Linked DNA regions of Notamacropus eugenii. The protein of the gene in region 1 purifies or fractionates together with the protein of each later gene. This does not show direct contact. Links are inferred from orthologs where the notes say so. Each region holds a gene or a part of one and is shown on either strand. Other genes may lie near its edges.

Region 1 (6,979 bases):
AATGTGAGGTAGTTCCAGGTGAATATTATCAGCTTTTTCCTGGTGGGCATTTTTTTTAGGTAGAAGAGGTACTTTGATATCCTAGGTTATCTATAATATTTTTTGAAGTATCACTGACTAAAATGCTCTTTTAAGAATCAGGTAGATTTACTTGAATTTAAATTAAATGGTAACATTAACGGCTTACCATGTAAATCAGTTAAAAACTAATACTACTTCATCTTTTCCCAAAGAGACAGAATTTACCTAGTTGAACCTAATTATAGAAAGAGAGAATCAAAGCCTGACACCATCCATTAGACTAAAGTGTTTTCAAAAAGGTGTCATTTATATTAAAACTTGTAAGCCATCGTGCTATACATGTTTCATGTAAATTAAGGCATTTTATGAAGTTTAAAAAGCCCAGATCTATAGCATCGAAGCCCAGAATGCCATGGTGGACAGAGCAGTTACGTTTGTCATGGTTGTTGAGGTTTTTGAAGTGAGTTTCTATAGAAAATAATTTGAAAAAGAATAACAATTATTTTAATTTGCATGTAACAGTCTTCGGGTTCTACTAACAATGGTTTACAAATGATTTCTGTATATAATATAGTCAGGATTTTTTGCTTGAATAGTTTACATTTCCTTTTTAAAATTCCTTATATGTCTGGTTCATGAAACAGTATGGTATAGTAACTAAAGAGGGTTGATTTTGGCCATTAGAAAGACCTTGGCTCAAATCCTACCTTTGCCTGTGAGACTGAGGGCAAATCACTTAACCTCCTAACGCTTTAGGCAACTATGTAAAACTGAGTCACAAATACATTGCCATGCTGAAACTTCCCTGTACAATTCCAGGTTTTTAAAAATCTACCACATTTGATTTGGGTTATATTAAAACATTAACTTGGAAATCATGCTATCTTTAAGATAATCATAATTTCCTATGTCTGTGGTGAAGCATATTGTGAATACTGGAGATGGATAGTTTCAATTTATTTCTTATTGTTAGTTGCTGGTATTTGGCTAAAATAATGTGTGATACCGTATTACACTGGAAGGACAAAGACTGAATGAACTTAAGAGATACATGCCATGGCTGCATCTATCCAGTGTTGCGTTCTGATATTGGCATGAGAGGCATTCAAATGGGAAAACATAATTGTCTTCTTAGCACTGACCTCAGGTTAGCAAGGGATTCACAACAGCTCTTTTTAATAATCTGTTATAGAGATATCACTTGTAAGTGATGCTAATAATATTTCCTTATTGATTACTTAATTTTAAGTTGCTTTCCCTGCCCCCCCCCCCCATAAGTCTCTGAAAGGCTTTAGAATCTCAGTGAGTAGGCAATTCTAGTTTTTTTTGCATCCCTTCTTACTTATTTGAGCTTTTGCTTTTACCACACAATAGGTCTTCCAGAAAATGTAGTCGGAATAGGTTTCCTTATATCCAGTCTCCAACACTTAATACCTGTATAACCTTGGGCAAGACACTTAACCTTAGCACCTCAAGGGGGTAAGAGACTCAGAATTGCCCTAACTTTTTAAAAAACCTGTTAAGAGTGATGGGCTCAGTTTCCTTATCTGCAAAGTGAAGGAATTGTACTTAAAAAGTGTGAGGTATAAATGTATACATAGACACACATATATACATATGTACACGTACTCTTAAATATTATCTTTAATATCTGTATTTTGCATAAGCTTAAATCCAATTTGTGTGTATATGTGTCAAATGCATACATATTATATATATACATATATACACATACATACATACATACATATGTAGCTCATCTTGTTTATCTAAGATAATGTAGATGTTATTACCTTCACTATATGGGCAAGGAAACAAGATTTGAAGGTAAAGTGACTTGGCCTAGGTCAGTCATAGGATATGGCAGCGTTATGATTTAGAAACCTGGTCTTCTGACTTAACTCTACTGTTCTCACTAAATCTCAGTTTCCTTCCACACAAAGACCATAATACACAGAAGCATCAGTACTATTAAAAGTAGCAGTAAGAATTTGTTTTGCTTTCCGCTGGAAAAAAAAGAAGCAAATGTGTACATATATGTATATGTATATATATGTATACACACATACATAAAAATAGTATAGCACAGATCAAAAATCAAAATAGATTATAGGAATGATTTCCATCCCTGATTCCTTAATTAAAAGGAATCTTTAAAGATATTCATGCTTTGAATATTTACAAGCCCTCTTTCCCTCAATATTTCTAGTCTTTAAGCACTTATCAATGCACATTTTGAAGAAATATTTGTATTTTTAAGTGTTTTTCCAGTTAAGCATTTAATGTGTTAGGCATATAAGCTTTAAATTTATATTTTCCAAGTACATAGTAAGGAACTGTTTTATTTTGAACAATATTAAGACCATGAATAACATTTAAGGACAGTTCTAAGTATTCCAAACCAAATCTGGATTTTCCAAGGGCTGATTATTCAGGTGGGGACCTTTTTCTACTTCCATTGCTCTTATTTCTAGGATCCCCATCAGAGGCAGCGCAACAACAAAAAGAGCTCCTACTCCCGTTTTACCACTTATTAGCAACCATTAAAGAAAGGCAAATTAATGGCTAAAATGAGTTTCAAAAAAATGTCTTTGGGCTTTTATTATCCAGGCTGTTCCTCTCCACGTGTAACTCAGACAATGTGACCTTGATGAAGCTCAGGCCATTTCACAAATGGTCAATATTTTATTTCTCTTTCCATTTCCCTGTGAACAAGCGCTTCCAAAGAATCAAAGCTGCAGGTGACCCCAAAGGGTAAAGGAGAGCCGGGCCATGGGCACCAGCAGCAGGGCAAGAAGCGCTGCAGACCATCCCCAAGGCAATGGATGTTTTTTAAAAGGAGGTGGGCCCCACCAACGGAGGCTGTTAAAGGCCTGGAGGCCTTCCTCCAGGAGAGTGGGCAGAGACTGCGGGAAGTGCATCAGGGACACAGGGTACGGTGGGCTGCGATCTGCAGGAGGGAGGGAGGGTGCACACGGCGTAAATTCAGAGTTCAGTGATGAAACCTGCCTGGGAAGCGGCCAGCTGGTTCTGAAAGCTCACGGTGGGGAGGGCAAAGGGCCTTCCGCCTGGGTTCTTAAGAAGGGGCAGGCCGGGCCTGCTGCAGGGGTCTGTGAACTAGGACGGTCCAGCCTCCAGGACAAAAGCCACGGCCCGACGGCCTTCACAGAGCACCTAATCCGCAGAGAACGGATTTAGGGCCTGTTCGCCGAGTACAACAGGCCAGTGTTAGGGGCCCGTCAGGCAAGAAACCCCGAAAAGGCCAGCCATCGTCCAGTTCTGGGGCTGACCTCATGCCGGAAGCCAGGCTCCCTCTGCAGCTCCACAAGCACTGTGTCTCCCAGGGGCAGGGCAGGGCAGGGAGCTTGCGACCGGACCAGAAGCAGAACCAGAGGGGATCGGGCCAGGCCTAACGCCCCAGATGGGAGCTGCACGCCAGCTAAGCAGAGGCCTGCGCCGCGTGATGGCCAAGACACCTTCCAAGGTCAGACACACTGGAGCGGGCAGGATCCCGGGCCGCCCCGGAGGGGCTCCCTTCAGTAAAAACAAGGCACTGCAAGTCCCACGGCAGCCCTAGGCCGGAAGGACCGGGAGAAATGATTTAGGCACGAACCCAAAACGTACAGTGGCTCGTGACAGGCAGGATGCACGGGAAGAAAATAGGAAAAGTACCGATGCATGAAGTTCGGCTAGGAAAAGGCCACGGGCAGGGGGGAAGGGCAGGGGCTGCTTTCCGGGCACTCCGCAGGCCTCCATTTGCCTGGTGCCGCTGGGAAGGGCACCCTGGCCTTTGGCGCTCCGCTCCCGAAAGGTAGTGTGGGGGATAACTACGGTAAGGAGGCAGGAGGGGGCCTGCAGCGCGCCGCGCGGGCTTTTCCACTGCGCAGCAACTACCGTAGGGGAGGAGGAGGAGGGGCGGGTATATTACGTGCGCGACGCCGCCCCGACGAGAGGACGTTGCGTGCTCGCTCGCGCCGGGCGAGTCTCCGCGTCTCCCTCGCGAACTCGGTGAAAGGAATTGGCGCCGTTCGACTCCAGGCGGGTCCGCTCTGCAGCACGAACCCCACTCCAGCCGCAGCCGCAGCCGCCGCCCGGGGCCGAGGAGCAGCCGCAGCAGCCGCCGCCAGTGGCCGTGTGAGCGGAGCCGAGTCGCAGTCAGCGCCGAGCGGTGAATTGGGGCCCTCACGATGAGTTCCTCGCCAGTGAACGTGAAGAAGCTGAAGGTGTCGGAGCTGAAGGAGGAGCTCAAGAAGCGGCGCCTCTCTGACAAGGGCCTCAAGGCCGAGCTCATGGAACGGCTCCAGGCCGCGCTAGACGACGAGGAGGCCTCCGGAGGCCGCCCCACCTTGGAGCCCGGGAACGGCAGCCTGGACCTGGGCGGGGATTCCGCCGGGCGCTCGCACACGCAGCCCTCGGGAGCAGGCCTCGAGCAGGAGGCCGCGACCGCGGCCGACGAGGAAGAGGAGGAGGAGGAAGAGGAGGAGGAGGAGGGGATCGCGGCCCTGGATGGCGACCAGATGGAGCTAGGGGAAGAAAACGGGGCCGCGGGGGCGGCCGATTCGGGCCCGATGGAGGAGGAGGAGGCGGGCGGCTCCTCGGAAGACGAAAACGGCGACGACCAGGGCTTCCAGGAAGGGGAGGACGAACTCGGGGACGAGGAAGAGGACGCGGGCGCGGGAGACGAGAACGGGCACGGGGAGCAGCAGTCCCAACCGCCGGCCACGCCGCAGCCCCAGCAGCCTCCGCAGCAGCGCGGGGCGGCCAAGGAGGCCGCGGGCAAGAGCGGCGGCCCCACCTCGCTCTTCGCCGTGACGGTGGCGCCTCCCTCGGCGGCCAGGCAGGCCCAGCAGCAGGCGGGAGGCAAGAAGAAGGCGGAAGGCGGCGGAGGCGGCGGCCGCCCCGGGGCTCCGGCGGCGGGTGAGTGGCGTTTTCTGAATGTGTGTGTGGCTGGGAGTGTGGGGGGGCGGGAGCGGGGGAGAACCGCGGGCCCGGGGTGGGGTGGGGACCGTGCCCCAGGGCCTCCACCCGTCCCCCCCCGAGAGGGGGCTGGGGGCTTGGGAAAGGCGAAGAAAGGGCGGGGGCGTCGCTGCTTTTCCCAGTGGCCGGAGTCGTGGATGGGGGAGGGGAAAATGGGGGGGCGGTTGCGGGGGAATCCCAGATTAGCCGTGAGGTGTCGGGCTGTGTGTGTGCGTGTGTGTATGTGTGTGCGCGCGTGTGACGGCGGCGCCACCATTATCTGGCTCGAGAGCCAGGGGGAGCTGCAGCTGCCGCTGGAGGGGGAGGAGCGGCCGCTGGCGGCGGGAGAGGGCCCCCCCGTGCTCGGCGCTGCTGCGTGCGCGCGGTGCGGGCACATGTCTCCGCACTGGGGGGAGGGGAGGGAGAAGGGAGGACGATGGGAGGGGGGGCTGGAGATCGAGGTCCCGGGGCGGGCGCGCGGTGGCGGCTCGAGCTCTCACGTTGCCACCGTATTGTGCAAGGAGTGCAGGGGCTCTGACGTGACGTCACTTCCGGTTGGCGGTCCCGGCGGGGAGGGGGTAGGGGTGGGGTGGAATCGGGGGAGAGTTAGAACGACGATCCGTACAATGCGGCCGCGGGGAGCGCGGGCCCAGCCGGAGTGGGGGGAGGGGAGGGAAGGGAGAGGAAAAGGCTCGGAGCCCCTCCTCCTCCTTCGTGCTCTGCTCTCATTGGGATACACGTGGGCTCTGCTTATTCCGCGCTATTCTATGTGGCGCTCGCAGGAATCGTCGAGCAGCCTAGGAGATCGGGGCTATCTCGGGGCTGCGTCACGAACTGCACTCCTTTCTTAGCCCTCCTTCTTCCTCGGATAGTAAATGGTTGGCCAATTAAAGGATTATTGAAACCGGGAAAAAATGGCAGGTTAACATAGCAAGCTTTTTAAGCTTTGCAGGTTGCAAGTGGAATAGGCTTCGTTTTCGGGTCAGCGGGGGTTTTTTTTTTTTTTGTTCGTCTTTTTTTTTTTAATTTAAAAAGATGTCCTAACCTTTGTAGGAGATGGCAAAACAGAGCAGAAAGGTGGAGACAAAAAGAGAGGTGTTAAAAGACCTCGTGAAGATCATGGCCGGGGCTATTTTGAGTACATTGAAGAAAACAAGTACAGCAGGTAGGGAAGTTTATCTGATCATTTCACTACACAATGAATCACAAATAAGAAAGCTACATCAGGGGCAAATTCTCTTTTTCAGAGCTAAATCTCCTCAGCCACCGGTTGAAGAGGAAGATGAACACTTTGATGACACAGTGGTTTGTCTTGATACTTGTAAGTGCATATCTTCCAATCTCCTTAATTTTGCATAGGACCAAAAATCTAGTATGTTTAGGAAATTTGCATTTATGAAAAATAGCTTGTGCAAGTGTAGAAATAATCTGATTAATAACTTGTATGCCAGTCTTTTGAAATAAAGGTTACCACAATCCTCATGGAAATGACTAGGTAAGGTATAAACAAAATGGTATTTTAAAATTTAGTCATATGTTCTGCTTTGGCAACCCTGTAGCAACTTGGTGCTTTTTTCCCCCTTGAAGTATGGAATATTTAGGTGATTAACTCTTGAATAGAAAAGGTAATTTATAAATATATTCTCATGTTGTCTTTTGAGTTTTGTAAGAAAATGTAATAAGTATTAGTGGTGGGAAGTTAGTAATTGACCTTATTGGGACTAGTATTTATTGTAAACTTTTAAAATTTCATTAAGTGAATTTAGAACTTCCCATTGTTCGAAGTTTTTGGTACTGGGAGTTACCAGATTTGTCTTTACTAATGACTTTCCCTTTAGTTCACAAGTATATTCCCTTTTTCTAACATTTAAACTGTAACATTATGTTCTCAATAACTGCTGTTTTGTTCTCAATTGCAGTTCAGTAGCTGCTGCTTTAACATAAGTTGGTGTCTTCCAAAGACCTGGGGCAGCAGCAGTGGCTATCTCTGGGCCACTAGCTT
Region 2 (7,247 bases), on another chromosome or scaffold:
CTGTTCATTATCTTTGCATTTCTACTACCCAAATAACTCTTTGTGTATTTCTAGAGAGGAGAGCCATTCCTTCCTAATACAGTCATGAGACAGAACAGTGATGCTGAGCTCAAATATAAACTGGGGCCATTAAACTACAGTCCACATATTGATTTAAAAAACCACATATTAACATGTTTTATTGCATTTTTATTTTAAAAATATTTCTCAACTACATTTTAAATTATAATAATGTGGCTGATGATGGTGCTAGGATGGCCTCACACAGGATTTTTATGACTTACATGTGTTATCATCTGTGGGCTAGACAGTACAATTTGGTGAATCTGAAACTAGTGAAAAGGACAAAATGAATGAATTGTCCTTAATAGTTCAACATCAGTTTGGAAGACCATCTTCAGAGATCTGGGTCTGGCCCTATGCTACCTATTATTTTTATCAGTGACTTGGATAAATGATTTATCAAATTGGAATCATTGGTTGATAAAATTTTGGGAGGGATAGTTAATATATTGATTGACAGAACAGAGGTTTAAAAAAAAGTTTCACAGGCTTGAATACCAGGCTGAATGTAATAAGATCAAACTGAACAGAGGCAAACATGAAGTCTTCAACTCAGCTTCAAAAAATCAAATTCAGAAGTCCAGGATGGGGGAAAAGATAGAGGTTTTAATGGACTAAAGGCTCACTTTTAGTCTACAGCTTACTTTTATAACCTCAAGAGATAATGTGATTTTAGGGTGTATTAAGAAAGGTATATTAAAAAAAGAAATAAAGACAAAATAATTCCGCTTTACTCTGTTCTAGTCAATCAGTAAATAAGCATTTAATTAAGCACCCAGTATGTAAGGTAAACCCAGAGGACACTAAGAACTTTGTAGCAGAAAAATATCCAATGATCTGCCTTGTGAAGTAGCAAATTTCTGGACAAGGGAAGTGTTCAACATGAGGCTGGATGAACATTTGTCTTGAACACAGCAAAGGGATTCTGGCACCATTTAAGGGATTCAACTAGATGATCTCTAAAAACCAAAACTGTGATTACGCTTCTTGGTTCACTGGTTTTATAAGTTGAGAGGTAGGGCAAATCGGAGTTTTAAAAGACCTCCTGCTGGGCTATAAGTTCCAGGGGAGACTAAAAGCAAATAATGAGAAATAATTCATTTATGTAATGCTGTAAAGTATGCAAAGTACTTATCACAGGGAGAGTTTATTAAGAGAGTCTTTATTACCTGAGTGAGCTTTTGATTGTGACTGATTAAGAATATTGGATGAGATATAAATGACTGAACAAGTACCCCAGATCAGAGCCCTGGCCTCTCCCTCTTGACAATCAGAGTAATCTCTAGGGATTGGATCATCACATAAGTCTGCCTTTTATAAATGAAGAAACTAAGAGCTGAAAAAGGTTAAATGACTTGCCCTGGGTCACACTGAACTCAAATCAAATGCAACTCCGCTGACTTTAAAATTCTGTTAAGTCATGTACAAGTTTTCACGACCCCACCTGGGGTTCTCTTGGCAAGGACAGTAAGGTGGTTTGCCAGTTCCTTCTCCAGTTCATTTTAAACATGAGGAAACAGACAAAAAGGATTGAGTGACTTGCCCAGGGTCACACAGCTATCAAGTGTATAAGGTCACATGTGAACTCAGGAAGATGAGTCTTCCTGACTTCAGGCCAGGCACTCTATCTGCTTCACAGCCTAGCTGCCCCAACTTAAAACCCTACATAACATGTCCCATGTCAATTGAGAACTTTATCACCTACTCAAGCTATGCTCATACATCATGGTACTCCAATCATGTTTATTAAAACTTGAAAATAGAGGTGATTCATGTTTTACAACAGTAGAGTGAGGAGCCCAGCCATGATCCCCTGCCTCCTGGTTCAGTTCGATGTCCAGACTGGTCTGCCTCCTCACCAGCAGCCTTGCCCTGGCATGGACCCTTCCTCTTCTTTCTCCTCCCCCTCCTCCACCCTTTCCAGGACTTTGAGTTTTGTTCTCCATCGTTAGAAGGTCAGGCCCTTGAGAGGAGGGATCATCTTGTTTTCTTCTCTTTGTATTTCTAGAATTTATCTCAGTAACTGGCACCGTTTTAGCCCTTAATAGAAATGCTTCCTCTGTCTATTTGTCTATCTGCAATCCTCCACAAGGGTCCTAACTCTAGTCTCATCATGGAGGGGCCTCTGGGTTCTCCAAATTTATGCCAGCAGAATACAGGCTATCCAGTTTTAACCATGGAGTCCTAGAGTCTCCCTGGAAGACTGAGCGGGTCATGTCCCTGTTGAGGGGTACGAGCCCCAGCCAAGCCCTTTTCCCTTTGGATCGGGAGACCTATGGTCACATTTGTCTGAAGGGCCCTGGAAAGCCTGGCCTGGCGGAGAGGGGGCTCCTTGGAGTCCCCCCGCATTTCTCTTAGGTCCGAGACTCCCCATCTCCTATTTAGCGCTCTTTTGGTTCTCCACCCTTTGATCCCATTACCAGCCACTCCCATCAGGATCCTCCTAGTCCACCTGTATTCACCCCAGGGTGCCAGGGGACATTCCCCTAGCGCCCCATCAAGCCCATGGCTAGGACCCCAGACTACCTGGTGACGCCCGGAGGCTTCCCTCAGTCTTTTCTGTGTTTAGTTCCACCTCGCCTCCATGAAGGCGCTCAGACCCTGCCTGGCTGAGACCCTCTCCGGCCGCTTGTGAACACAAGCGTCACCAGTGGCCAGGCTCCCTAGGAGTCAGCCCAGTACGGCCATCTTTAGTAAACTTTGTCCTTCTTTGGCTCACTGGCGCAGGACCCGGCGGGTCAGTGTTTGGGGGCCCCCAGCACCCCTGAAGCTCAGCACCCGGGCCAGTTTATCTGACTGCGGACAAGCTTGTGAGCGGTAAACTGGCCTGTGTAACAACAGCCTACACGTACACACGCTTTAAAGATTCCAGACGGTCTTGGGTTATCCCCGCCGGCCTCTCAAGCCCTCCTGGGAGGTGAGCGCTCCCGGTGTCCCCGAGTGGCTAGGTGCGGTGCCCGCTGCTAGGAGTGCCGGGGTGCCAGGCCTGGGCTGGGAAGACTCCGGGCAAATCCCTTTCCCCTGTGTGCCTCAGTTTCCTCAGCTGGAGGAAATGGCAACCACCCCGGCATCTCTGCAAAGGAAGCCCCAGATGGAGCCCCGGAAAGTCAAGCACGTCCGGAAACAGCCCAACAAAAGTTCTCCGGTGTAATGCAGCCGGCCGCCTCACTTAGTGAGCAGCCCCATTCACCGGCCATCCACAGCCTCAGGACAGCAAGCCCCCCGCCGGCCATCCGCCCGCACATGCGTACAACGGTCAGCACTCCGGGCCGAGCGCTGCGCTGGGGCCTGGGGCACCTGGGGCTCTTTTGTGTGCTGACGAAACCTTGCGTGCCTTCTCTGAACGCTTTTAAATGCGTGAAACAAAACCACGCAGGACTACAAAAACCTAATTGTATCGCCGTTGTTACAAAGGACCCTGGCTGGGAATCCTCCCGCGGCTAGCGCTCCTTGGCCCTCCAAAGCGGCTCGGACAAGGAAGCCTCCTCCGGGCTGTCACCACACGGAGTGTGCACCACTCCGGCCTGTCCCAAGATGGTAGACGGAGCGCTGTGCCACTACACTTAATTCTGAAGTACACCAGGAAACAGCGCTTTCACCGTCAGCACGGCAGATTCTCGGACATCTGCAGACGTTCGTTACAAGCTGATTGGCCCTGCCTGTACTTGATTTGTAAAAAAAAAAAAATTAAAATAACTCGTGAATTCTTTGGAAGGAGAGTAAAGGCTGAGTGACAGTATTCGAGTGAATTGCATCCAGACCTTCCTAACGTAGGCAACAGGAAAGAAAGCCTTCCCCTGGGTCTGCGCGCAGCGGCGCGGGGGGAGACGGGGAGGATTTTCATTAGCCGCTTTAACAATCCACCCAACGAGGGATCCGCAGAGGGATCTGGCGGGAGGGGGCGAGGGTGGCCAGACGGAGCGGTCGAGCAGGCCGGTTTCTTTGCACACGGATCTAGCACCAAAGGAAGGCCAGAGCTCCACCTCCATTCTACCAGCCGGGCGCAAAGGGCGGGAAAGGCTCTAGTCCCGAAGGCCTATGCGGGAGAGGGAAGAGGAAAAAGGAAGACGACTGAGGATGGAAGGCGCGCTCCCTGGAAAGGGGGGGAACAGAGAGGGGCGGCGGCGCGCGCTACCTCGACCAGCGCGGAGCCTTCCGCCCCACCCCCACTTCCCCCAGTCCGTCTCGCTCTCAGTTTCCCTCAGCGCCCACGCCCGGCCCCTCCCCCTCACGTCCGCCTTCCCACCAGCCGCCGGCGGCGCGCGGAAAGTGCGTCACGTGACGGCCGGCCCCGCCTCTTCCTCTCGGTCCCATATTGAACCCGAGTTGGAGGCGGCGAGTCCGGTCTCAAAATGGAGGTAAAACAGCCGCCCGGCCGCCCCCAGCCCGACTCCGGCCGCCGTCGCCGTCGCCGGGGGGAGGAGGTATTAGGGGGAGAGCGGGGGGTTGCTGGGCTGTGGCCGGCGCGGGTGCCCCGGCTTTGGCGGGGGGAGTACAGAGGGGGCTCGGTCGGTCGGTCGGTCCCGCGCTCTGCGCTGAGGCGGCGGTGGGGGGGGAGGGGAAGGCAGCGGGCCGCGGTGGAGCCGTCGGGCCCTCGGCCCCCGCCGCCGCCTCCTCGGCCTCCTCCTCCCCCCTGTCTCCTGAGCCGCCTCCCGCCTCCCTCCGCCTCGAAGGCTGCCCCGCAAAGCCGCGGCTCGGTGGGGGCGCCGTCCGGGGGCGGAGCGGGCCTGGCCGCGATGGCTCCTGATTTTAGGCGGAGTGCGGCATGGCAGGCGGGCGGGCGGGAGGGAGGGAGAGAGCGAGCGAGCGGTTGGGGAGAGACGGTGGGGGAGGGGAGAGCCGAGCGGGGCTGGGGAAGGAGGGAGGGGGCGGGCAACCACATCCGGGAGAGCGGGCGGGCGGCGGCCGCCGCCACATTGACATCGATCCTCGGCTCTGTGAAATGGCGCATTGGCCCGCAATGGCCGCCGCTTCGCCGCTGCTGCTGCCTAGCGAGAGCGCGGGATTGGGCTGGGCTGGGGGCGGGGAGGGCGCTGGCGGGAGCGGGAGGAGGGAGGGGGAAGGGGAGAGGAGGCGGCGAGGGGAGGCGCTGCTGCAAGGAATCGAAAGGCTTGCTGCTTTCTGCCATCGCAGCGGCTCCGCCACCACGCTTCTGGGCCTGAGGACCGTGCTTCCTTCGGCTCCCTGCCCCTTTCTCCTCCGATGTCCTGGCCGCGCGGGGAGTGGAACTGCTTTTCACCTCTAGTTTACCCATAAAGTATCTTTATGACCCCAAAAGTAACGAAAGTGTGACTGATACCTATTGACGAGCCACTTTTGTAGACGAAGGAAACTTCCCCCTGTAACTTAACAGTGAGATGGGAGGAAAGGGGAGGACTACGGAAGATGGATCGTGGTGTGGTGTCTGCAGGGAAAGGCTTGGCGTGTCAGAAACCCTCGTTAAATCTCCCACGGCCGATTTTGGTTAACTTCCCTTCAATAAACTGCGTGTAACTGAAATTGAGAGAATAGGCTACATCAAACTTAAAATCGAAAGTTTTTAGTCGTTTTATATTGTCCAAGGCTTTGGATGTTATGCAATTATGAAAAGGCAATTGAATTTTAAGCCTTTATTTCTCTTTTAAGTGAAGATAATGCTAGTTTTCTTACAATAACAGTTTTGCTCTTTAAAAAATTTGGACCTTTTAGTTAATGACAGATTATTAGGGTGTTGATTTGGCCATCATTAGGAAATAAAATTCGTTTATTCAGCTCCTGGATTTGGGAAGTGACTTTTAAAACGCTATTGTGGCATTTTTTTTTTTTTTTAACATAGGTCCCATCCATGTATTGAGTTTTTTGGAGGGAAACGTTACAAAAAAAGGACTCTGGTACAACTGAGGGCAATTGTAAGGTCATGCAATGCCAGTTTAGAACTTAGATTACACTACAATTAACTGAAGTGTTTATCTGAAGCAAATATTTAACTTTGTGCTGAAAGATTGAAAAAAATTATCAAAGACTCTAATTTCCTGAAAGTGTACAGAATTTAAAAAGTAGAATTTGGACAGTTTATAAGTACAAAGTCACCGAATCAGAATGTTCTCCAAAACATCATGTCTTATAATTGTTATATAAAATATGTTCACATTTCAGTAGTGTGAAATTTTCTTAAAGCAGTAGAATCTGGGGAAAAGTATGATTTTTTTCACAACTGCTGCTGATTCCACTACTCAGGAAGAGAATGATGAGAGACTAGAATAAGGCCTTGCTGTATTAGTGTTCCAGATGCTTTCCTGTACTTGGCCTAGTAGCAAGTATTTCTAGACACTTGTTAAGTGAATGGAAGTCTGTGGTTAGATTTTCATTTATCCCTGAAGTCTTTTTGTTTTCCTTGTCCAAAATGTGATTTCAGATGAAGAAAAGTGATAATTCTAGGCTAACATTTGAAAAGCAGGCTGTAGGGTTCCTATAATTCACATAGTATCTCAGATACAACTCTGTAGCATCCATTCTTATCCAATTGTCACCTAACAAAATAAATCACCTGGAAAAACTGCACAAGTCTTTGTTTCCTAACATGTAACTATACACTGCTTTAACTGTACTGAAAGAAATTGTTAAGAAATTCACTAGCTTATTTTGCTACTTCCTGCTTCACTAGTGGTAGTAATAGTTCCTCTAAAGATCTAATATCCAAAAAATTTGATGAGGATAAGTGAGGAAAAAGATCTAATATCCAAAAAATTTGATGAGGATAAGTGAGAATTATGAACTGCTAAATTTGTTTATTTTTCTAAGGGTCATGATCCAAAGGAACCAGAGCAGTTGAGAAAACTGTTTATTGGTGGCTTGAGCTTTGAAACTACGGATGATAGTTTAAGAGAACACTTTGAAAAATGGGGCACTCTCACAGATTGTGTGGTAAGTTGTTGAAATTTAAACAAATATATATAAGAGGGTTAAAAAAAGTTGCTTATATAGTCTAGGGTAACAAATTGTAACATGTAAATGTGCTTTATTAGGTGATGAGAGATCCCCAAACAAAACGTTCCAGAGGCTTTGGCTTTGTGACTTACTCTTGTGTAGAAGAGGTAGATGCAGCAATGTGTGCTCGGCCACATAAGGTTGATGGGCGTGTAGTGGAACCAAAGAGAGCTGTTTCTAGAGAGGTATGCCTATGATTAATATGTTGTGTACCCAAC
Region 3 (7,094 bases), about 26 Mb from region 1:
ATACTGTTATTATTCCCATTTTACAGATGGGGAAACTTAGTTCTCAAAGGTTAAGTACCTTGCCCAGAGTCACACAGCTAATAAGTGTCTGAGGCTGTACTTGAATTCAGGTCTTCCTGGTTCCAGGTCTAGTGTTCCATTCCCTGAGACACCTAGCTGCTGGTATCCAAGACATAAAAGCAACTCGATTCTAATTCACCAGACGTTAATAAGCAATTGTTTAGTGCAAGGCGCTGCGCTAGGGACTAAACAAAGACACAGAGAAAAGGAAAGTTCCTGCCCACCTAGAGATTACATTCATTTAAAGGGAGAGAGTGTCTGTCGAATTCTATCAAGTTTCCCTCCTTTCCCACCTCTAATTATGTATTCATAAAGGTCAAGTTCCAAGTTTAAGCCCCACTGCCTATTTGTCTCCAGGTTTGAAATCCCTCTTCTTTCCTTAAGGCACTTTTTGACCCCACCTCCCTCAGAAAGTGGTACCTCACTTCTCAAATTTCCTTTCCCCTTACAAAGTCTACACATTTTTTTTAAAAAAATAAGAAAACGGGAATTTGGGAAACATTTTTCCAGAATAGGCCCAATCTACCAAGTTTCTCAGGTGTGAGGTAGCCATTTTGTCAAATTATTCTACCTCTCTGGAAAGTCAAAGGACTATCAGCTGGTTACATATAAACAAACTTTAAATCTGGAAAAGGAAATGAACAGAAATTGTTGAGGACTATAGCCCTAATTTTATAGAATTAGATGGTCTATAACAGAAACAGTAAATTTTCTAAGTTTTTGGAAAAGACACTATGTTGGTTTTTTTTAAGTTTTATTTCATTTTTGAGGTAGTGTGTTACAGAGCAAAGGCTGGATTTGGAATCAGTAAGGAAAGACCTAGTGGTTAATGTTCGCCTCCCACACTTAAGCTGTGTGACAAGGAGTCACCTTAGGTCTTCAGCTCTCCTACTCGTAGGTATGATGGGAATACCGACAGTACCCATCTCCTCAAAGCGATGTAGGGAAAGAGCTTCGTAAATATCACAAGGCAATACAATCATCAGTAGTTACTATCTTTACATTCAAAGCTCAGAGCACGGGGCTAGCTCTTTATTAAAGCGCTTGTTGAACCAATAAGGGGAACACAAAGACAACAACTACACCCACAAATGATGTTAACAGAGGTAATACTACAAACAACCCCACAATGCTTACTTAAAGCCTATGAAAAGTCAGTGTGATCATATTAGTGGGTAGGAAGTTCAGCTCATTTAACCTACTTATTTTACAGATGAGGAAACTGAGGCCCAGAGAGAGAGAAGTAACCTCCTTAAGGTCACATACTTACGAAGTGGCTCTGCCTCCAGGAACCTTTCTACTACACCACGAGTTCTCACTCAAGTTTAAGAACACGGGTGCCACACACGCCACCCCCCGAAGGCAGATATGGGGCAGTTTTCCCGCCCACTTCTGCCCTAAGGAGGTACAAACAGAACCCGCAGGTCACTCGAGGGGGGGCCCGCCGCTGGAGCCCAGTCAGAACTGCTGCCCTCTCTGGCCGGCTTGTCCCGAGCCTCCCTCCCCCGCGCGCCTTTCCCCGAAATCACGAGTTGGGGGAGAGGCTGCACAGGGGCTGCAGACGTAACCAGAAACCCGAGGCTCCGTATATTCCGATTCCCCCGCCCAAAGCTCCGGGGCCGCGTCCCTAGCCCCTAGGCGCGGATCGAACACGCCACGGCCACGGGAACGCCTAGGCGCTTTCCCGCACCCGCCTCCCCTCGCGGCGCGGCGCCCTCCGTCGCGCCGCGCGCACGTCGGGGTCGGCTTCCGTTTCAACGCGCACCCAAGCCCTAAGCCCGGCCCTGGCCGGCCCCCTCGGGCTCAGCTCCCTGGCCCCAGCCCGAGTCACTCACCCGCGATCCCAGAGACAGCCAGGCTCGAGCCCTACTGCAGGAAGCTGCTCAGCGCGCAGCCGCCGCTGCCTCCAACCGCCCGCAGGCTAAGGGGGCGCGAGGACGTCCCTCGCTGGCTCACCAGGGCCCAGAAGGGCGTGTGATCAGGGTGACTACAGATGGCGCGACGGGGTTAAACTTTCTCTCCCTTCTTCCGGGTTGAGGACGTAGGTACGTGTTCCTTCGCGCCTCCCAAATTTTGTAGAACTGAGCCGAGGACAAATTCCTCCTGCTCTTCCCAGCCCCCTTTACCTACGCCCCTGCAGCCGACGGGAATGGAATAGTCCCGCTGTGGGGATTGTGGGAGGCGCACGCGCTGGGGGGAGGGGGAAAAGGAGGAGGAGGAGGAGGAGGAGGAGGAGGAGGAGGAGGAGGTGGAGGCGGCGGCCGCGGCGGTTGGTGGTGGTGGGGGCGGGGTGGGGGGAGGCTAGAAGAAGAGGCGGAGGCGGCGGCTACTGCTAGCACCGCCTGAGGTAAGCGTGTGGGTCCGCGCCAGAGCCGGCTTGACAGGGGAAAACGAGGAGTGGGGGACGCGCGAGAAGAAGTCCCTGAGCAAGCGAAGCGCGTGTGGGCAGGAGCGCGGGGCGACGGAAGCTAGTGGTTGGTGGGGAGCTGGTGAGCTAGGCAGAGCCGCGGGCGCGCGCGCGCTCGTCCGTCGGCCGGAGTTGGGCGGGGGGAGGAGCGGGGAAGGACGTGGGGGGAGAGCGCGAGGAGGGAGGAGTGGGAGGTGGGGGGGCGCGAGGCGCCCTTCGCTCCCTCCCTCCATCCCTCCCTCCCGAGGAGCTGCCGCCGCTGCCTCTCTGCCGCCGCCGCTCCCGCCGCCATTTTGGGTTCGTTTTGCAGAGGGGGAGACGATCCCCCTTCTCGGTTGCGGGCCCCGCCTCCCCTAAGCCTTCCCCCCCTGCCCCAGTCCGTTCCCCTCTCCCCCTTTTCCTTCCCGCCAGTCTGCTCACCCGCCTGCCGCCGCCTGACAAGCGGGAGGGATCCGCCGCGGACCCAGGGAAGCGGAGGAACCCCAAGGCGGCCGCCTACCCTCCCCAACTCTTTGCCCTCTCCTCATCTCATTCGTCCCCGGTCTCTGACACGGTGAGTGGAAGCCAGCCTGGGAGGCCTCCGAGCCTGCAGGCTACCCTCCCAGCGGCCAGGCCTCGGCCTCGGGGGAGCCACCGTCATCCCGGGTCCTGGACCTCTGGGAGAGGGTTGGCAGGGATGGGGGAGGGGAGGGGATCCTAGGCCGACCGGGAAGTCCCGCCGGGAGGGGGTCAAGGGGTGTTCCTGACAGGCCGGTTCCTGGGGGGGAGGGAAAGAGAGGGAGGGAGGAGAAGGAAGGGAGGGAGTAGAGGCGGAGTCGGGCGGATGTCCCTGACAGGTTGGTCTCAGTGCATTGGCATGATTGGGGGGATCCCTGAGACAGACTGGCCTGTGTCCGTTTAGGGAATGGAGTATCCTGGACGAGATTGGTGAGGGCGATGGGGGGTGGGGGCCGTGGAATTTTTGACAGAGGGATGTTCTGTGGTCCTTGTGTGAGGAATAAGGATGGGCTGGCCTACGTACACAATATTAGGTTTAGAGACTACGACTGGCTGGTCTGCGTGTTTGGAGATGTTAGGGATGACTTAGGAGACTCCTTTGGGGCTATGGACAGGTGATATTTATGTAAGTGCTGCAGGTACATTATCAGAATGGGAACCCTCTTCATGGCACATGTGTTTAATCGGGAATGGGGGTTCCAGAATTATCTGTATGTATTAGGGGTGCTGGGATTCTCAAAATAGATTGGTGTATATATTTAATAGCAGTTGGGATCTCCTTGACAGGTTGGTGTGGTAGGGATGAAAGATATTTCCTACTTACCAACCAGTTGATTATAGTTGAAGGAGGAATGAAAATATCTGATTAGTTTTTGTTTATGGAAGAGGTTCTTGGGATGATGAATTTTCCTTTTAGGACTAATATATACCCTTACATCATGGATAGATGTAATGAATATTTTTGATAGACTAGCCTGTAAGGGAAAATGGTAACTTGTGTGCTGACTTGGGTACATAGAATTCAGTTCAGTTGAAATACTTTTAAATTTGAATCATATTTATGCATGTTTTATGTCTAACTTTTCTTTTTCCTGGAAACAATCTGGTAAAGTAGGTAGGTTCTGCCCTTATTTTACAAATGAATATATTGAGTACTAAAAAGGGTTTAACTAAAGGCTTTCTGGCCACTCAGCAAGTTAGTTCTTGCTTTTCCAACACCTCATTTCTTGATTCCTATTTTGCTCCTCATACAAATGGGATAGTGGACCCTTATCAATATGATTTAATTTTACATAGGAAAAAAGTTAGAGTTATTTAGCTTGTATCTGAGAGCGTTCAAGAATATCTGTGATGTTACATGAATGTTAAAGGAATATAGGTTGTTTTTGTAAGACTGATCCATAAGTATTTAGAGAAAGCTATATGCTGTTTACCAAATTACTTTATGTTAATGGAGGAGGTGGTCAGGTTGTTTGTATGTATTTGAGTGAGGGAAATCCCTTACATTTTGGTCTGTGGACTGACCCAGACTGTGCTTTGTGTTGATGGGAAGAGGTATCATTGTTAGCTGGCCTATGATTATGGGAAGTGTGATTGGGTAAACCTGATGGAATAGGTTGTATTCATACTGCAAAATTACCTTGAGAGGAGGAAGTTGATCTACCATACAAAGTAGCCTGTGTAGAAATGAGACTAAGAAACTTTTTCCTTCAAAGTTTGTTCAGTATACCTGGAGAAAATTAATATCTTTAAGCCAAGAGGGCATAATAAGGATCTAGGAGAATTTCTTTAACAGAGTGAGTATGTGATACCAAATGTTTGTATGGTCCATGTGTATTGGGTTTAGGAGCCACTATCTAAACTGTGTTTAGGAGGTGGGCATTACCATTTTTAATACACCTAGGAGTTGGTACACTATATTTTCTAACAGGTGAGTGTGTACAATGCAAGCCCTCCCATAACTAAGTATAGAGGAGATTTCCTGAGCTGATGGGAAGTGCTTGTGGGAAGATGGGTGGTTTCTTGATTGGTTTGACCCTGACTTATATTTCATACATATATACATATTTTATATATATATATATGCAAGTATATATATATATATATACACATGAAATCTAAATTAACAAATGCAATGCCACCAAAACTTTTGTATAACACAAATGATATTCAAATGTTAAAAGGCAGCCTATGTACAGTGGAGAATATTTGTAACAAAGTTACATCCTCCCATCCTCAAGTCCTTATTACTTAATTGTTGTAGGGTTTGATGTATATGCTCAGGTGTTTTCTGTGCTTGTATTTAGAATGAGAGCAGATAAAGTAAGAGAAGATGGTGGTGTGATGTTTCTAAAAAGGTCAGAAGATTCTGTGACAATATTAGGGAGTTTTGATAGGACTGGTTAGGACTTGTTGAATCACATTTTATAAACTTGTCTTGTATTATGTGACCTTGGAAACAAGTGATATGGTAATTGTTTACCTGTGTCTGGCCTTGTTTTTACCTTGTTCCTTTTGGGGCAGCATGGCGGTGCAGTGGATAGGGCACCAGTGCAGGACTCAGGAGGACCTGAGGTCAAATCTCCCCTTAGACACTTGACACTCACTAGCTGTGTGATGTTGGGCAAGCCACTTAACCCCAACTGCCTCATCCTGGGTCATCTCCAGTCATCCTGATGAATATGTGGTCACTGGATTCAGATGGCTCTGAAGGAGAAGTGAGGCTGGTGACCTGCACAGCCCTCCCTCACTCAAAACAAAGTCAAGTGCAAGTCATGTCATCATTTCTCTGATGGCATGGTCTTCTTCGGCAATGAAGGATGAACACACCTTGTTCCTTTTAATTTTCTTTCTTTTTTTAAAAATTCATTTTATTTATTTTCAGTGTTCTACAATCACTGACATATAACTTAAATTATTATTATTCCCTCCCTCCCTCTTCCCCCTTCCCTGCCTGAGATGGCATACAATTTTATATAGGTTCTACACATATATTCCCATGAAATACATTTTCACTATAGTCATGCTGTGTGGAAGAAGTAAAATAAATGGGAGAAATCATATAACAAACCAAAACATAATACACACACACACACACACACACACACACACACAAAATGAAGTGCTACATTCTGCAATTGAATTCCATAGTTCTTTCTCTGGATGTGGAAGGCATTTTGCCTTAGAAGACCAATTGAGAATCTTTTTAAGTCCTTGCATTGCTACGAAAAACTCTTGCACACTGGTTTTTGCTATACACAAAGTTGTCCTGGTTCTGCTCCTTTTGCTCAGCATCAGATCATATAAGTCTTTCCAGGCCTCTCTGAAGTGTTCCTGTTCATCATTTCTTATAGCGCAATAGTATTCCATTACATTCATATACTATAATTTATTCAGCCATTCCCCAATTGATGGGCATCCCCTTGATTTCAAGTTTTTGGCCGCCATAAAGAGTGCTGCTACAAATGTTTTTGTACCTGTGAGACCTTTTCCCATTTTTGTGATCTCTTGGGGATATGTTCCTTTTAATTTTCAATGATTCCTCCCTCCTATCTCTCTATAGTGCTTCAGGTGAAAATGAGTAATTCTCATTCTTTGAATCTATTATGTGGATAATTTCAGGATTTGAAACCAGGAATTGTAAATGATTGTATGAATCTTTTAGAGGCTTTTAGTAGAAGAAGCTGGAAGTGAAATCATAATCCTGGAAGTTGTATATTCACAATATTCCCAGTTGCCTTTCCTTATTGTCTATAAAGTTTTTAGGTTGTACAAATAATTTTGTAGCTAAAAATGTTTTGGTAGCATCTGATGTTTTTGGTTAAATGTACCATCTGTTTTAAAACTGGTATAAACATTGGTGAGGGAGCACTTGTTAGTCCTATAAAAATTTTGATTGTCATGCTAAGTCCTTTTTCTCTAGGGAAGTCTATGTTATAGGTCTTAATGTCCTTTTGGATTTATATACCTATAGGAAACCCTTCATGTATCTCTGGGGTGAAATGTAGCAGCTGCTTGACAGCTGTACTGATTATCCATGAATTTGGAACAGGAAGTGTTAAAAAAACAACCACCACATTTTTTTATTTAAGGTGATAAATTCAGAAAGATATTGTAATAGCACAAATGA

What was found.
Region 2: the proteins of HNRNPU (region 1) and HNRNPA3 fractionate together in Homo sapiens (co-fractionation; 3 studies listed by BioGRID, with this or other methods). This does not show direct contact. The link is inferred for Notamacropus eugenii from reciprocal best matches to the Homo sapiens genes HNRNPU and HNRNPA3.
Region 3: the proteins of HNRNPU (region 1) and DAP3 purify together in Homo sapiens (affinity purification with mass spectrometry; 3 studies listed by BioGRID and IntAct, with this or other methods). This does not show direct contact. The link is inferred for Notamacropus eugenii from reciprocal best matches to the Homo sapiens genes HNRNPU and DAP3.

What each region holds. Positions count from the first base shown.
Region 1 is NC_092873.1:406,028,368-406,035,346, reverse strand, and holds the start of HNRNPU (heterogeneous nuclear ribonucleoprotein U), read left to right. Parts: upstream 1-3,975; 5' UTR 3,976-4,208; coding exon 4,209-4,938; intron 4,939-6,030; coding exon 6,031-6,142; intron 6,143-6,224; coding exon 6,225-6,298; intron 6,299-6,979. UniProt on the Homo sapiens protein: DNA- and RNA-binding protein involved in several cellular processes such as nuclear chromatin organization, telomere-length regulation, transcription, mRNA alternative splicing and stability, Xist-mediated transcriptional silencing and mitotic cell progression.
Region 2 is NC_092876.1:240,104,596-240,111,842, forward strand, and holds the start of HNRNPA3 (heterogeneous nuclear ribonucleoprotein A3), read left to right. Parts: upstream 1-4,237; 5' UTR 4,238-4,415; coding exon 4,416-4,487; intron 4,488-6,843; coding exon 6,844-6,966; intron 6,967-7,067; coding exon 7,068-7,214; intron 7,215-7,247. UniProt on the Homo sapiens protein: Plays a role in cytoplasmic trafficking of RNA. Binds to the cis-acting response element, A2RE. May be involved in pre-mRNA splicing.
Region 3 is NC_092873.1:379,741,278-379,748,371, reverse strand, and holds the start of DAP3 (small ribosomal subunit protein mS29), read right to left. Parts: upstream 3,011-7,094; 5' UTR 2,888-3,010; exon of another isoform or gene 2,885-2,887; intron 2,408-2,884; exon of another isoform or gene 2,284-2,407; intron 2,106-2,283; exon of another isoform or gene 1,896-2,105; intron 1,735-1,895; exon of another isoform or gene 1,331-1,734; intron 1-1,330. UniProt on the Homo sapiens protein: As a component of the mitochondrial small ribosomal subunit, it plays a role in the translation of mitochondrial mRNAs. Involved in mediating interferon-gamma-induced cell death. Displays GTPase activity in vitro.